Linked DNA regions of Drosophila melanogaster. The protein of the gene in region 1 interacts with the protein of each later gene in a pairwise test. Each region holds a gene or a part of one and is shown on either strand. Other genes may lie near its edges.

What was found.
Region 2: the proteins of hig (region 1) and CG30355 interact in a two-hybrid assay, tested with the Drosophila melanogaster proteins (one large-scale study listed by BioGRID).
Region 3: the proteins of hig (region 1) and CG7556 interact in a two-hybrid assay, tested with the Drosophila melanogaster proteins (one large-scale study listed by BioGRID).

The regions. Positions count from the first base shown.
Region 1 is NT_033778.4:9,244,572-9,250,442, forward strand, and holds the start of hig (hikaru genki), read right to left. Parts: upstream 2,679-5,871; 5' UTR 2,324-2,678; coding exon 2,194-2,323; intron 1-2,193.
Region 2 is NT_033778.4:8,677,665-8,683,243, reverse strand, and holds CG30355 (uncharacterized protein), read left to right. Parts: upstream 1-3,290; 5' UTR 3,291-3,415; coding exon 3,416-3,750; intron 3,751-3,807; coding exon 3,808-4,033; 3' UTR 4,034-4,098; downstream 4,099-5,579. Other genes in the region: Acsl (Acyl-CoA synthetase long-chain), read right to left, coding at 1,639-1,793, 1,859-2,134, 2,196-2,459, 2,523-2,695, 2,758-3,232, 4,110-4,316, 4,376-4,814, 5,216-5,278.
Region 3 is NC_004354.4:19,176,783-19,182,653, forward strand, and holds the start of CG7556 (uncharacterized protein), read right to left. Parts: upstream 3,049-5,871; 5' UTR 2,898-3,048; coding exon 2,218-2,897; intron 1,466-2,217; coding exon 1,258-1,465; intron 1,181-1,257; coding exon 500-1,180; 3' UTR 1-499. Other genes in the region: CG7453 (uncharacterized protein), read left to right, coding at 3,497-4,411.

The DNA.
Region 1 (5,871 bases):
ATTTCCCACACAGTGGGAGCTCCCTGTCATTTCCTACCCCTCCTATTATTTTTGAGGCAGCCCAGGAAAAGTCAAGTAATCTCTGTCCTTTAGCTCACATATATGGGAATGCAAATGCATAATGCGCTGGCGACTTTTTGTCATTTGGTTTTCCTCCTCCTGCCGAGGCTACATCCCTTTCCCAACGACTCCTTTTTGCTTTAACTGCGATTTTGACAGTTCGTTACTCAGTTATACCATTTGCATGCATAATGCAGACTCAGCTTTGTTCTAAGCACATAAAATGTGGCAAAAAGACATGGGTGACCATGGGCTCGCAAAATGCACTGTGTGTGGTGCACTGAAATAAGTTCCATCTATCTTTGGCTTCCTATTTATTTTATGAAATATTTATATCATGTTTCGAAGGGATATTTTTAGTTAGCTTCTCTTTTATATGTGGCTTACTACTACTCTACTATTGAAAATAATTATCGTAAACGCATATTTTTTAGTGTGCGCCCAACTCGTTCCAACATCATCATCCATCCTGGGGACCCAGGATTTATGGGACAGCACATGGAAATGGGTGAAAGGCAGCTCTGGTTTTAGCTGCTACTCGGCTACTGCATATTTCATTAGTGCTCTGTGCGCTAGTGCTTCGTCGCCATAAGTCAACATTAAATGGATTCCATTTGTGAGTCATGTAAATTAAATTTCCCTCGCTTTCACATGTGTCAAGCGAACGTTTGGATCTCAGAAAATCTAAGAATCGGCACCCCTCTCACCTGACTGACTGCCAAACTGCGCACCAAAAGGCGAAATAAGAAGTCGCAATATCCGCCACAAAAGAAAAAAAAAGAAGATAAGTGCGACGCACTTTTGCCTGACTGAAGGACGAAACCCCAAAAGCTCAGCAGCTCAACAGCTGGTCCTGTCGATTTGCCAGGGGAAATTAGAAGGCAACCGACTGGAGGGATGGCGATGGCGATGGCGATGCCGATGGAGGCAGAGTGAATTAATTACTTTATGCGCATCTGCGTGTCGCTGTCGGGCACTTTACACTTCCCCTGTATCCTTTTTCCCACTTCCCTTGTCCCTTGTACCCCACATCCACCCATTCCCCCGTCCAAAGTCTTCCTTCCCTTTCGCAAAACTCACACATGACGCTATTAATTTCTATTACCAGCCTCGGACGGCCTGCCTGCCATACTTCATTACGGACTTTCGTGCAATTGCCGCTTGCCCGAGCTACCTTTCAGCTCCCCTTCCCCTAGTGCACTGAGAGAAATTATTGGTGACTGCCAGCGGAATTAAGTTTCGTTGAGATTTAGGAGCAAAGGTCTAACAATCAAAAGTATGCATTAAGTTTGCGCCTTATTAATGATTTCACATGTTCAAAATGTTCAGTAATCATAATTTATAATGTATAAATATACATATGTAATTGAAAATATATTTGATCAAAAATAACTAAATTTATCATTAAATTCTTACCTAATAAATTATCATAATACGCTCGAAATAAAGGTTAAATAATTATTTTACAAGGTGTGAAATACATAATGATTTTAAATATTTATGTGAATGCTATACGAAAATTTATTTCGATTTGTCATACATGACAATCATGTTTTTCTTTATTCTTACTGAAAAATAATGTTTGTGATTGCGTTTGAAAACTAACTTTAAAGACTTCATGATGTCTTGCTTTGAATGATTCATAATAAAAGCCATTATCCTTGCACCTTATAAGCATGTCTTTTATAATTTAATATGAAAAGCAACCTAAAAATTTGTTGCCAAATATTTTCCGCAGTGCCCCGTTTTCGCGATGCCCTTGCTTGTTTGTTGACTCTGATTGGGATTAAGGTTGCCCATGGGCTCTCGGCTCGCTTTGATTGCCTTTGTGCCGCAGATGCCGTGAAATATTTCATTTGCTGCCAGTTATTTGCTCTTGCGCTCTGTAGCTTCCCCTCCCGGTTACGAATTCATTTCTACTCCGGATTTATATCCTTTTTGTTCGAGCGTGTGTGATAATCGCTGGGAGCTGGAAGCTGTGAACTGTCCGATTTCCATGGATGCGTGGAAGGCCATTTAATAAAGTGACCGAGTTCGAGGCGGCCCGTCATAATTTATTTACGCTTTTCGTCCGTCCAGTGAGTGAAGGTCAAACGGAGGAGCCCACGTGTGTGCGGGGCAATTAGGACTCACCTGGCTCGGATGTGGTGCTGGTCTCGACGGGCTCCGTGTTGGCATTGCTTTTGTCCAGGACCAGCAGCAAAACGGTCAAGGATATTAGGGCCCAAAGCGGCTTATGGCGCATTCGCTGCCTGCTCCACATGTCCAAGGATCAGATTGCGATTGCCAGAGTTTCGGCGTTGTTTTGTTTTCGTTTGTTAAGCAACCCGATGAGTCCTTTCAAATAGCAACGAATTTAACACCACTGCACTTCACGAGTTGACTTCTTAATGGGCCAAAAATAGAAATCCACTTGGCCAACTCACACACACACACTGGCGTACCGCCAGCAGTAACCCACACTCGCGCCAAACTGTATGCAACGTGTGCGCGTGTATGTGTATGTGTGTGTGCTCTTTGGCTTTAAAGTTTCACTTTTACTTAGAGTCCTTTGCGGGGTTTTATCCTTTTCGAAGCTGGGCACCTATCCTCTCGAGCGACGACAATCGAATGCCACGAGTGCGGCGAGCGTCTCGCTTTTATACCTCTCGTTGGATTCTGCGCAGCTTCGGCTCTGCTTCGTTCGGCTGCAATCGGCTGCATTCGGCACTCGACGAAGGATCGCACTCGACGAAGCTCGCCAAAGGATGTGTCACGTGCATTTTGCCGGCAAATCGTGTGTTTTTGTTTTGGTTTGGCCCATGTTTTGCTTAGTCGCTGTTGCCATTGCCGTTGCTGTTGCTGTTTTTCGTCATCTCCGATTTTCCTCTCTCGCTGCTTTCGCTTTTCGCTGTGCCCGTGTGTCTGCGTGCGTGCCCTTGTAACTCTCACGTAGCTCTCCTTTTTCCCACTCCCCCCCGAACCAACCAAGGAACACCGCCCACCCACGTGGCCAATTCCCAGCTACAAATGAAGTTTTCCGCTTGCTTGCCACGTTGATTCGGTTACTTTCCAGTTTAAAACTAATTTAATTATACTTCCTTAGTTCAGGCAGATACTTTTTACTGGTGCAGCAGTGAATCAATCGCATAAAATCAATTACTATTTCCTAATTCACTAGGGGAAATCGTTGCTGAAAATGTTATTGGCTTAAAACTGCGATTTATATAGCCCGAAAACATGAGCACATAAGGTACAATAACTAGACGACTATAATTATTTAATTGAAATATTGTATGTAGGAGATAAATATGAGAATTACATTTTTGGATACATTGGCAATAACTGCTAAAGTTTAAATTTTATGATTTTTACTTGGCGGTAAGCTTAGCAACTAAATGCAATTTTTTTGTAGCTAATTATATGTTTATAAATTCAAAAGTGTGCTTCCGTGTTTACTACAAATTCAAAGTGGGTACATTCTATTGTGGCTAAGGAGTGCAGTGGAGCCAAGTGCTCGGCAAGGGACTCACCTTTGCTGCTCCTCAGCTGCCGCTGCCCTGAGAAGTATGCTATCAATTGTGCTGACGTCGCCTGTCTGCTGGCCATTCCTTTTGGTCCTGGCCAATAATCAAGCAGCAGTTGCGGTGATTTTGAGGCCTCTGCTCTGCGACCGAAGCCAAATGGCATTTGGCATTTGGCAACCAGGTTGCGGATGCCACTTGGCCACTAATTACGCAAATGAATGCTCCGACAGGACGCCCCTTGTTGTCCTCGCAAGATAAATGTCACTCATTGGAGGTTCAGGTTAGTCCTGGTCCTAAAGCGTAACCGTAACAATACCGTCTGGGTCGCTCTTGTCTGTCGCATTGAAATTTTGCTGAAATGCGAAATACCAAATGCGAATGCGAATGCGAAACGCGCTCAACTCCAGTCGAGTGGAAAATGAATGTTTGTGTGCTGCATTCTCCCCCTCAGCTGGCAATCCAATTGTGCAGCGGCATTATCTTTTGTGTATAGTTTCTGGCATGCCGTCCTAGTGGCCCGAAACTTTGGAATGCAATCAGGCTGAAAATTTATACGTTTAGCATGTTTATCCTGCCTCCTGGCAACGAGCGGCTTTACAGCAAAATTCAATTTGCTGCCCTGCAACCGCAGGCTGAAATTACATCTCTGGTATTCCAACTCAATTCGATGCCGACGGGCCGAAGGCTAATAACCAATGATTTCCTGGGTGCCAATGAAGTGCGTGCACCTGACATGGTCGCAGCTTTTCTAGATTAAAATGCCTGCATTTAGCAGATTAAATTATTTAATCAAGACAATTACTTACTGGCTGTGCGATGGGCAGATGCAACAAATACATGGCTTACCGAATCCTCATTTCGGTAGAATGAATAATACAATATGCATAGTAAGTCACGCAAAAGGAATATTTACTTTGGCCAGCTTGGTTGGCAGCTGATTTAATAACTACACATCCAATTGTTTTAAATGAAATAATCTCCTCTTCGTTTTAATGAAATTATTGCTTTAAATAAATTCCTTGTTGTTTTGAACATATGTCAAAATAATATATTCTTTAAGTTGTAATTCAGGTTTTAGATATTCAAATATACAATAAATATTCTGAGATTTCTTAACATCGATCTCTTCGATAATATGTTATGCTCCTTATTTTGCTCAGTGCACCAAGCGGAAAACAATCGCAAGTAAATCAACTGGTTCTTAATGCCATTTGCCAGATAGCGAGCCCAGGGATAAACAAGGACTCGCACCCGATGGCCAAATTCCAGGATCTTGTCTTGTCATGCAATTATCGAGTTTTAATGAATTTTCGCGCGCAGTCAGAGGCGAAATCCATTAAAGGACTCGCGCAGACAGACACGGATGCGATGGCGGCAAGGAAGTGGAAGCGGAAGTGGCCAACTAATTACGCCAGGACACTTGGCACACAAAAAGCGGGCACCAGCAAATGCTCGAGTTAATTGCATTGCCAATGATGCGGCAAAAGCGTTTTGACGACCAAAGGGCCATTAAGTCATTAAGACGCTCAAAATGTCATTAAAGAGCGAAGCCAACACGACCACAATCTGCGCAAATCGCAGCTACAAATTATTTTGCACTACCAGATATTTAGATACAAATATTGGCTTTATACAATCATCAGCTTGTCATTGGGAGCAAAGTATGTGGTGGCAAAAAGTTCTTGAAGAGCTAGCGATCCACTTTTCGGTTGGAATAAGGGCATATTGGCATTAGCATTGGCATTCTCTGCTGGCCAAAGTTAACCACAGCTGTCGGCTTGTTGGCCCAAAACGCCCAACTAGTCGGGTCAGTGGGCAAATCCGAAGTGCCAGCTGGAAATTCCCGCTGCAAATTAAATAAGTGTCTAATTGCTGACCAGCAGCATAAAATGTGCACAATTGCAGAAGCAGCCGTGGGAACCAAGCGAAATACAAATGACACGACCCAGTAATAAATCTCAATTGATCCCGCAGGTGCAGTGGCAGTTTGGTCGATTAAAGCTCCCTCAACGACTGCATCCTGCAGCGTTCAGCGGTCAGTGCAGGCATAACAGGTGGGGAGGTGGGTGAATCCGTGGCAAATACGTTAAGTGGCAGCAACGAGCCACAACAACGACCCTTCAATTGTGGTCCATGTGGCTTTTCTGCGTTTTTGGAGGGTAAATGCTTTCGAAGAGGATAGGGAAATGCAAAAATTATATTGGGGGAAAAGGTGTACACTTTAACCTTTATAGCTTGAATCTCCAAGGAACTTCACATAGCATTTTTCTCTATATAAAAAAGTATTGGTTAAAGTGCTTATAAA
Region 2 (5,579 bases), 570 kb from region 1:
AGCGCCTTAGACCACTCGGCCATCCTGACTTGATCGCTGAGTGGACTGCGCACCAAAAAGTTCACAAGCCATTTGATCTAGTCAAAAGCACAGTAAAAAGTTCTAGGGAGCTTTGATAAGCTGACCATTGATCGATAGGAAAAACTCGATTTCAAACCAGATATTCGATAAATTTATCTTCACGAATAGTTCCCAATTTTAAACTAATACGCAAGTTACCGCTCAAGTAAAACTAAAAAATAGTTTCGTTTATTCATTTATCCAGTATTTCATACGATCAAAAATATTATAATGCATTGATACTTATGTGTAATAATTGTCTTATATCTTTATTACTCGTAACTCGTTTCGTTATTATAACAATGATCTATTTGATCAGGGCGACAAAATCGGAGATACGAGTTCCACACGCCGTCCCTCGTGATTTTTAAAGAAGTCGAAATTGCATCTTTGTATCATTTGAATTTTATTGAAAAGAAACGTAACGTTTCCACAAAAAATTGCTAAACGTTTCCTAAATATACATAGTTTAACTAAAAATATGACTACAATTTATTCAAAAAGTTCTTGCACATCTAAAACAAATGTTATTACATTTTAGTTTTGAGATATAGGCGTTTTGTTGGCCTTCTAGTGATTTCAGTGTTTTTATTATATTTTGGTACTAAGTCTTTCATTTGTTGCATATTAATTTTGACTTTTCTCTTTACGTGTTTTACATAATATATTTCATAAAATTCATTTGATGTCCTTTTTTTAACTAAATTGAGCTAAAATATATATTACAATTGCCTTTGTAACCTTTATGCCTTTGTGTAATTAAAAGTAATTTTTGGATGGTTCCATTTGTGTTTAGATGTATTTTACTCTGCGCCAAAAAGAAGCATTTGCAAGGGAAATTCTTAGGTTCTTTACTTTCAATTGTGGCTTTTAATTCATAATCAAGTCGCTTTCATTGCTGCTGTCTACATTTCATTACTTCAAGAATTCCATACATTTAACTTAGCATAGAGAAGTACACTAAATATTAGATTTATTTTACACATATATGCTTTTATATGAATGTGTATATCGTATGTACATAATTAATAGGCAACCACTTAAGCTTAATATAAAAATAAGTATTTTTCTGCAATATAAATTTGCCACACAATGTACTATAAACCGAAAACTGTACAGTATACAATATTCCTTCTCATCATCGGCATTCAGTTATCATTACCATTATCATTGTCAATCGGTTGAACAGCATTCCTAGCACATACACAGCGCATTTCCAAACCAAACTCAGCTTCAGCTACATATCTGCCAAGCAAGTCTTTGCGAACTTTATTAAAATGAGAAACGAGTAATTTTCGATTTCTAGCAAATAAGATAAAACGAAACGAAAAAGGCAAATGAGAACATTCTGTCTGTCTTTACATGCGCAATGTGGCTAATCGGTTCCTGCATGTACTGCTCGGCATTTAGATCTTTTAGGACTTAAGCTAGTTTGGTTTTGGATTTCGTATGCATGCTTATGCTGTGTGGGGTGCTACTAAAAACAATTAGTACACACTAGCTTCATTGCTGCTGCTTTAATGTTTGCGTGTTGTTGTCGTTGCTGCATCTGGTACCTCTGGCTTAGTACATTGACTTTCATGAGGCGTACATGCGGTTAATATCATGCTGATATCTGTCCTGGATATCCTTGCGCTTCAGCTTGAAGGCGGCGGTTACCAGCCCCATGTCCGGAGACCAGACCTCCTTACAAAGTGTGATGGCGGCGGGAACCTCATATTTTTGCAATTTACCTTTAAGATTAAACAATTTGCCATTAAAAACTTTGAAAAATACTCAAATCTGCATCGTAGCTTACATTTCCGCGCATGCTCAGCAATTTCCTTGAGAATAGCCTTCTCTATGATCGGTGATGAGCACAGCTCCTCAAAGGACTTATCACCCAGGCCATGTTTCTGTGCCAGCTCCTCCAAATGGTTTTGGTTGGGAACGACCAGCGCCACTGTGTACTGCTTTGTCGGATCTCCGTATACGCAAATGTTCTCGATGATTCCGCAAGTCTTAAGCTCAGATTCAACTTTGCCAAGGGAAACATACTCGCCGGCCTGCAGCTTAACCAGATCCTTCTTACGATCTGCAAAAAGCGTATTATAATAAAAAAAATGAAAGAAAAAGCACTGTGCTAAATAACTTACCAATAATCTTAAGTACGCCATCAGCTTGTATTTCGCCAATGTCGCCGGTTTTAAACCATCTCTGTCCATCCTCCTCAAAGAAATCCTCGTTGGTCTTGCCGGGCAACTTGTAGTATCCCTGGGAGACACACTCGCCACCAATGAGAACCTCACCCTGGGGATAAGGTTTATTTGTGACGCGGTAGTTGCCTTCTTCCCAGTTGACTAGACGGATGTCGCAGACAGTTAATGGTCCTCCAGTGCGTCCATAGGTCATATCACGGTCTTGTATTGGGTATAAAGTTATTTACTTGTTTTCAAAAGAAAGGTCGATCTGCGATCACTTACAGTCCATGACAGTGGCTCCAGACGTAGTTTCCGTAAGGCCATAGCCCTGAATCAGCTCCAAGCACAAGCAGGTCTTGATCTGCTCATGTGTATCTGCTGACAGAGGCGCTCCGCCAGACATGATAATGCGCACTTTGCCACCCATTAGCTTTGCCACCTTCTTGAACACCAGTCTGCAAGAAAAATAATAGTTTTAGTTAGCAACTCATGATATTTATGAGCACACCGTTCTTACTTATCAATCAGCGGCGTCTTGTACCCCCTCTGCACCCACTTGACTTTGTACTGGTAAAGGAATTTGAAGAGTGATTTCTTGAACGCCGAGCCAGAGTTAACCTTGTCGTTAATACCCTTGGAAATGCGATCCAATATCAGCGGCACCGAAGTCATGCAGGTGGGCTTCAGGACGGTGGCATCGCCCTTGCACCCGCGTTTGATCTTGCTGCTAGTGTCGATCAGAGTCAAGGGGGTCGAGTAGCCAATTGGAACGCCAGTCATGAGACACACACTTTCCGCAACCAATTCAAAAACGTGAGCCAGGGGCAGGAATCCGATCAGTACATCATCCGGATAGATAGGCACCATATCAACAAATCCCTTCATTGTCGCAATGCAGTTCTTGTGCGAGAGGAGGACACCCTTAGGTGTGCCAGTGGATCCGGAAGTGTACATGATAATGGCAATGTCATCTCCCTTGGGTGGAACGTGCTCTGTGGGATACAAAATAAAGTCAATTAGTACTAGTTTAATATTTAACAAATTCCTTGCGCATAGCACGCTATACATATGCTGTCAACATTTCAGTGCTGAATTAAAAGCGCATACTTTCGGTAAACAGAAAGAACTCTTTCCAAATTGTGTAGGGTGATTTTTTAGTTCAGACACCATTCGAAATGGCTGAAGTCCTAGAGGAATTCATCACCCTAACGCCCTTGACTTGTGTGCAACAATGCAATGCTTTACTAGGCTCAACATCAGGAAAGCCGAGAAGCTGCTCCGTATTTTTTACACTATTTGGCGTATACTGCGGCGTTCTCATCTTTCGGGCGTATCGCACATATTCCTCTAAGCAAGAAAGAGACGAGGAAAAGATAACCGAAGGAGTTACCCTTGAGGCTAAGGAGGAAGATTTGATCATAGGACCTGGTTCCAGTCTTGTGAACGAATATGTAGAACAAACGAAGCCGATTCTGTTGCAACCCGTCGGTTTTTCCAGTACTGACATGAGGTGAGAGTTGTAGATTAAAACACTGGATGACCCATCAACACATTCTGTCTCGATTAGATGGCGCTATTGCAACCACTTGCCGGAAGCAGAATTAGCACAAGGCTCTGATAGTGAAAACAGATCAACCGAAAGAGATGACATTGATAACCTCGAAAGGATGAGCAATGTTGTGGATGATAATGATGCGCAGAAGCCGGTTGCATCCACATCGATGGCAACGGCTCGGGCGCCTGAGGATAACGCCGATGGTGAACACGTCGAGCCCACACCATTTTCGGTGTGAAACACGATGCATTTTAGCAAATTTATCGTGTAATTGACATAAATAAATCATCTTTTAAGACCCTTTCAAAACGTACCAAATTTACTGTCCTGTCCTGTCTTGACAACTTGGTTAAACGGCAAGATCTTGACGCCCTCCTTGAAGCCAGTGGTTTCTGTCTTTTGCAGCTGATCCTCAATATAGATAATAGTCTTCACCAATGGGCATTTGTCGAGCAGCGTCTTAAACTTGGGCAGCAGATCATGGGAGGTGATAACCGTGGTGACTTCCGTTTCGGTGATGCCTGGCAACAGAGCAAAATATTATTTAAAAACCATACACATGGTAAGCCAATTTACTCACAATGAGCAACTCCATCATCGCCCAGCGTAGCATAGACAGTGACAATGGGCATAGCCTGCTTAAAGCATCCGTGGGCAGCTATCATCCATTCGGCTCGCGTTTCGGCAAAGATGACAATGTTCTCGCGTGGTTTCTGGCCAAGTTCTCGCAGACCGCGCCCGAAATTAGCCGCCGTGCGCTCCGCCTCGGTGAACGTCTTCCACTTGTAGTCACCGAGGTTGTACTTCTTGAAGACTCGACCGTTCTGCTGCACCTCATCCTCCTCGCTGAGGATCTGCCGGGTGCCCAGACAACGCTTCGACGTGTAAGTTTTGGCCACATAGTTGAATACCTTCTCCAGGGTATCGATATTCTCTTGCAGCATCTTCACGTGGACATCCCGTGGTGGATCCGTGGTCCGGTAGGTCAGCTCATTGTCATCATTCCGCACGATCTTTGCCTGGAAAATGAGCGAATTCGTGGCGATTAGTTTAACGTCGTGTTAGAGGTTGCGATTTAAAAAGAAACGCTAGATTAGGGGAGGGACCACAAAGTAGAATCGACAGAGAGATAACGGACATGTGAGTTTTCGAGGGTTTGTTGAGGTGAGGGCCGTAACTCGGGAGATCATGTTTCTTGGACCAACACCAAAAAGAGTCTCCAAAAAGGGGATTCAACTCTGGGTACGATCACCAACCAGTACCTGGAACATTCATTGTGCGTGTGTGGTGTTTGTGTGTTGTATGGGGGTGCCCCAATGTATGTGTGTGTGTGTGTGTGTGTGTGTTCGTGTAATGTGTGTATGTTCCATAACAGATAGTATTACTAAATAATAAAAAAACACATTTGCAAAAGTTAAACCTCAATGTCATCCGGCGCGTACTTGGACTCATCGACCAACATTTTCTGGTTAATGGGCTTGGCCTGTAGAGGAAGGAGGAGTTGAGATATGCGATGAGAAGCTAGTTAGCTGTGGTATTGCATAGAGTTACTGATTCCCGATTAAGGCATTCAACTCGTTTTACTTATTTTTTCTAAAGATTATGCAAACTGCACACAAATGAAAGCGATCTTAGATTCCGGCGTTGGCGTACCCTTACTAACCCATAAACCTTATCAGCCGACTGAAAAGGCCAACCAAAATGCGTTCCATTTAGATAGTGAAAAGTCAGATAAAAGTGTACCTCAGGTGGGACTTTTCCTAAACGAGTTATAGCTGGAAATA
Region 3 (5,871 bases), on another chromosome or scaffold:
TGTGTACATAATAAATTGATTTAATATTGTATGAATGTATTTAATGCTTCTATGATTTATGTATATGTAGTGGCTATGCTGTTGCACCTACTAACTTTGTCAAGTTCTGTTACTTTTGATGTTTATTTTATTAGTTACTAACCTGGAAGTACACCGTATCTATCATCGATGGCTTTATCCCTGACAGAAACCCATCAAAAACTCTTATCCTATTCACTTCCTCTTACATTTCGTTTACTTAGCAAAGGAATTAATCGACATTTAGATGTTTACAATATAGAATTATGTACAAAACATAAGATAAGCGCTACACACGGTGATGGAAACAGAAGGTCAGGGAAGGGGCAGAGGATCGGGCCGCGGATTAGGATTGGCAAGGTCCAAAATGCTATGCCAGAGAGTCTTTAATGCAAAGTATAAAAAAATTCAATTACATCTAGTTGTGAGCCACGCGAGGAGATGCCGCAGCAGGAGGACAGAGCGGGAGCCGGGTTTCCGACTAACTGATCTCGTACTGATATGCATCGTCCGAGTCCTCGCCGCTGGATAAGTCCCGCTTACGGCGACGCTGCTCCCGCTTGCTGAGCTTCTTGGCGGCTGGCGCCACTTCCGGTTCTGGCGGCGCAAGGGGCTCCTCCTCGGGGAGCTCTTCCTCGATGGCGGCCGCATCCTCGTCCGGCTCGTTGGCCTCCTCCTCGGCCCGCTTCTGCGTCTTGACCAGCTCGCAGAGATACTTGTAGCGCACCAGGCACTCCTCCTTGGTCTTCTCCGGCACACTGTTGGCGATCTTCTGCCAACGGTCTCCGCCGGCCGTCTTCCGGTACTTGACTATCGCCGCCTCCAGGGCGCGCTGCTGCTCTTGCGTCCAGTTGGTCTCCGGAATTAGCATGCTCTTCTCGGCTGAAGCTCCTGCATTTGCGGCTGCCTTCTTCACTTTTTCCTTACGCTGCGCCTGCTGGGACTCCTGGACGAGAGCCTCGGCCACGCTGTCAGTTTGGCCGGGAATGCGGTAGCCATTCTCCTTCATCTTGGCCGCCATAAAGGTCACCTCCTGAACGCTGCGGTTCATCGACTCGGCGATAGTGTTCCAGCGGCTGCCAGCTCCGCCAGGATACTTTTTTACCAAGCGAATCAGCTCGGTAAGATCCTCGTCAGTCCAGAAGCCGCCGCTCACCGTGCTCTAAAAGTAAAAGCATGAAATTAGTAGGGTTTCGAATTTACTAGGGAACAGGAAACACTATACTGTCGGCTTTATACCTTCTGGGAAGCTGGACGAACTGCATCGTCATCTGTCAATTCGCGAGTCTGAATCTGCGAATAGCCGCGCAATTCTTCCTCGGTCTTCTCTGGAGCCTTGCTGTTCTGCTTGCGCTTCCGCAGATTCTCCTTGTGCTCCTTGCGAAGGCGCGCCTGCTCCTCGGCCTCCCGTTCCAGTTCCTCCTGACGACGGACGGCCTCCAGTTCCCTGTGGATGCAAATTGGGATGAATCAATTAGTTTCTTACTTCTTACTTTTGGATACCGTTCCCACACGATTTTTGTTAGCTTGTTAGCTATTCTACGCTAATCGAATTTTAGTACCTTATCTGTGGTCATATCAAGAATGCTCAGTTTCATTTGATTATCGTGCGACACAAAGACTGACAATATTCCTTCTTTGGAACCTATCTAATGGTGCAAGTCATCTTAAGGTGCACTCATGAGCACCTTTTTTGGAAAGCATAAAATGTGTTTGCATGGTGACATATCGTTTTCTTTCTTTGTTTCTTAATTGAATTGCCTATATTTAGAAGAATTGTTCTAGCTTGTGAATATAAAATGCTAACTAAAGGCTATGACCAAAATTTCAACTGAGAAATGAGAAACTAACCAACTTTTAATATTAAATGATATCACTCTGCATGCAATGAACATACAGAAACCACAGCGAATTAACGATAAGAGTGGCAATGTAAGTTATCAAAACCTGATGCAATACAAAACTAGAATTATATTCTTTTGTTGCTCTATATACTAAGATATTGAAGACTAAAGTAAGAGAGGTCTGCCAAAACTCCGAGCACAAGGTCGCAAAATAATAATCCTTCCGCTGCCAGGACCTCTCGATATAGAAACTTAATGAAATAGCAAAATCCTACAACTCCAAAATGACTACAATGGAACAAGGCGCTATAATAACGTAAAAACGTAAGGTAAGCAATAGAACCCTGCCACTTACTGCCTGCGCTTCTCCAGGGCGAGTTCCTTTAGCTCGTTGGCCTTGCTGAATCCGTTCTTGATGGTGCGCGGCAGGTTCCACAGGGCCAAGGGGATCTGGATGGGCAGGGTGTTGAGTAGCGAGGGCATCGGTATCTCGCTAAGGATCACGTCCATGTCGATGTTCTTGTTCTTCTTCTGCAGCTTCTTCAGCTTGGTGCCAAAGACCTGTTCGGCGGTGTACTTCTTCTCGAGGTAGGCCGCCCAGGCGAATAGATACTGGCCCACGGTGGTTATCAGGAAGAGGATAAAGGCGCCCTCATAGAGCCCGATCTTGCGCATACGTCGGTAATAGTAGAGGGCAGACTTCCAGTTGGGCATGCCCTCCTTCAGTACCCGGTCGTACTTCTCTCGGCGCGACGGATCTTTGAGAACCTCGTAGATGGAAACGAGGTTGCGGAACTGGATGTTGGCATCCTCGGCCGGATTCTTGTCCGGATGCAGGACAATGGACAGGGTGCGGAAGGCGCGCTTCACCTCGGCGCCCGTTGCCGTTTGGTTGATGCCCATGAACTCGTAGAAGTTGCGGTTTACCTCCTCGACCAAGTCAAAGATCTCCAGTTCCTCCGAGTGCCAGGCGCTGGCGCCAGTGGCGCAGAGCAGCAGGAGGCCGGCCAGCGTCAGCTCCGGTCGCATCATCATCGTGGTCCGAGTTCCGAATCCAGGTCAGGTCCAAATCGGAGTAAAATCCAAATTTAATGCGCCAGACCCACGCACGCACCACAAATACACACACACGCAAGCAAACACGGATAGGCTCAGCTGGAAAGTGGCAACGTCAGCAGACTGGTCGCTGGTGCGACAGCGTTGCCACCACTCGGTAAAGTTTGTGTAGACAAAAAGATATTTGCAACGTTTCTATTATTTATTTTTACGAATTTCTGTTTTTTTGTTCAAAAATAATTTACTGCACTAATTCTGTAACCATATATATGTAATCAAATTTTACAAATTTTTTTTTCCAACTAACGACACACAGTAGGTCAAACAGATTTCGTTTGTTTGCTCATTAAAATTTGCTCATAACATTTGTCAAGTTCTTCCTGAAAACAATAAAACAAATTCTCTTTCTATACCGAATTTTGTTTTAACTTGATACACGTTTTTCACCTGTTTCAAACCAAAACGCCCAACACTGTCGACTGTTATCGATAAGCTCTCGATGGTGCATCACTTGTGCAACTAAATGAATAGAAGCGACGCGACGTTTCACTCTTATAAGAATAAGAAATCAGACGACAATGAAGCTGCTCTATATGCTGTGGCTGCTGAGCATCTTGGTCCTGGTCTCAGGCCAGCAGAAGCAGACAGCTAACTCCGCCACCAAGGACGCCCCAGTGGTGGCCAATGCGACGAACGTGCTGCAGGCCAAAGTTATTCCAGGATCGAAATTGGAATCTGGATCTCCGGGAGCTGCCAGCCAGCTGGTGCCGGGTAAGGATGCAGCTGTGTTGCAACAGGACAAGAACTTAAACAAAACGGCCACAGCAGAAAATGCAGGTAAAGCCAAAAATCTCACAAACACCGATACAGGAGTGCCCACCATTCCTTTGGTCACTTCCAAGCCGGCTGTGGAGCAAAAGGCGGCCAAGGAGGCGACCAATACGACCTCCACTACAACTTCTTCCACCACGACCACCACCACCACGGCAAAGCCAGCTGCAGGATCAGCCATAGTCACCGAGGGCCAGTCCATGAAGGATGTCACCAAGCCGAGCAACTCGTCCACCAACGGCGCGGCAATATCCCCGACCAACAGCACCCACACCGCCACAGCCACCACCAAAACTGTCAATTCAACCATCATCGCAACCACGCCAAAGCCGAAGAAGCCCCCAGTGGTATTGAGCACTGATATACACCAGGAGGGGGAGGATATGGCGGAGCTGGAAAAGAGTCAGGATAAGCCAGGTACAAAGGGCGCTCCCACCCAGCCATTGGCCACACCACCAGAGCCATTGGTGCAGGGGCTTACTGGAAGTAATCTTGCCGATCACGGAGAGAACGGGTATGTGGTACCCATTGTTACCGTGCTGCTGACCGTTCCGCTGGCCATCGGCGTGGTGACCATCATGTACCGCCGCTTCCGCGACATGTGGAGCACCAGGCACTACCGTCGCATGGACTTCCTGGTGGACGGCATGTACAACGACTGACGAAGACGCGGACGACAGGCTGGCGGCAAGGGCGGCCACTTCACCGGGTGCTCCAACGCCTCCTCCGGCGCACTCGGATGATTATTAGTTGTTTAAGTTATACACGACTGGACGTGCTTGCATTCAATGCAAGATCGCCGGATCGAAAGCAGAGTGAGAGTAGCGGAGAGCAGAGGAGGCGGTGGGAAAACGAAACGAAACTATGATATTGCTCAGTCAATTAGAGGAGGAGGAGAAAGGGATTCGCTTTGCAGCGTGGCTAGGATACCCTTCCGAGCGGCCAAATTGAATTTAAAGCCAACTGATTTTCAACACTAAATTCGAGTGGACTCTTAAGTTTAAGCATTTGGATTATTGTCAAGCATTTGTTAGCAATCAAAAATTGATACCGGCACTTATATGTACCCTATATATACATATATCTACTTAGGCTGCTGCTGTACATCGAAGGCTGCGGACTCTCAACCATCAACCATCAACATCAACATCAGCGCAATTAGCAATCACTTGATGCATCCACAATCTAGCCGTAATGTGCCTTACGAACCAGCTCTATATACACCTTTACACATGATATTCTCCATCGCCGGGTCTTCGAGGTGATTTCTTCGCATTTACTTTACGCAACCAAGCAGCAGCACTCACTCAAAAAAAAAAACCAGCAGAAACCAAAAACACAAGCAATCGGCCTGAAACAAGCAAATTTATTGCATACCATGTGTATATACATAAATATGAATATATATATATATATATATACATATTTCTTATTGTTATTAATTTAACAACTACAATAAAGCAACAAGGCTAAAAAAAAAAAGATATATTTGGAAATGAAGTTTATTTATTAAGAGCCTCGGGCACTACTTGTGCCTCTATGATATCGTTTTTCCTCGTTTTAAAACAAAACTAATTGCTTATTCTGTAAAATGCAAACAACCGCAGTCTTGAATGTCACGCTAATTACTTGGTTTTGAATAATTCATTGAAATGTTAGCAATCAATTAAAAGGAAATTAGATAAAAACAGATATATATATGTGATATTTTAAATAACAAATAATACAGGATTGTAGTTAGTCGAATAGAACCCAAATTCAATTAATTCCTTAATAATTTTTTTCCAAACTCATTTTGGTAGTGTAAATCATGATTTATGCTTGCCAGCCCCGTTCAAATTCAAATATCATGCACTAAATCTTCTGGTTAACCCATTAATGTCTTCATTTATGCTTTATGGTTGGGAACACGCAATCGACTCCAGTGGCCAGATTTCCCTGGAGATTCGAGGCTACCAATTGATGTGCGTCCGGAGCTGTGACCTTTGGTGATAATAGATCACCAGCGCCTGTTCCTCGCGTCTTGATTTAGACAAATGGGGAACGAGGAACTGCCTCCATGCAGCCACCAACCCACCCACCTACAAATGGGCAACCTCCAACCAAGCTATGAAATAATGGA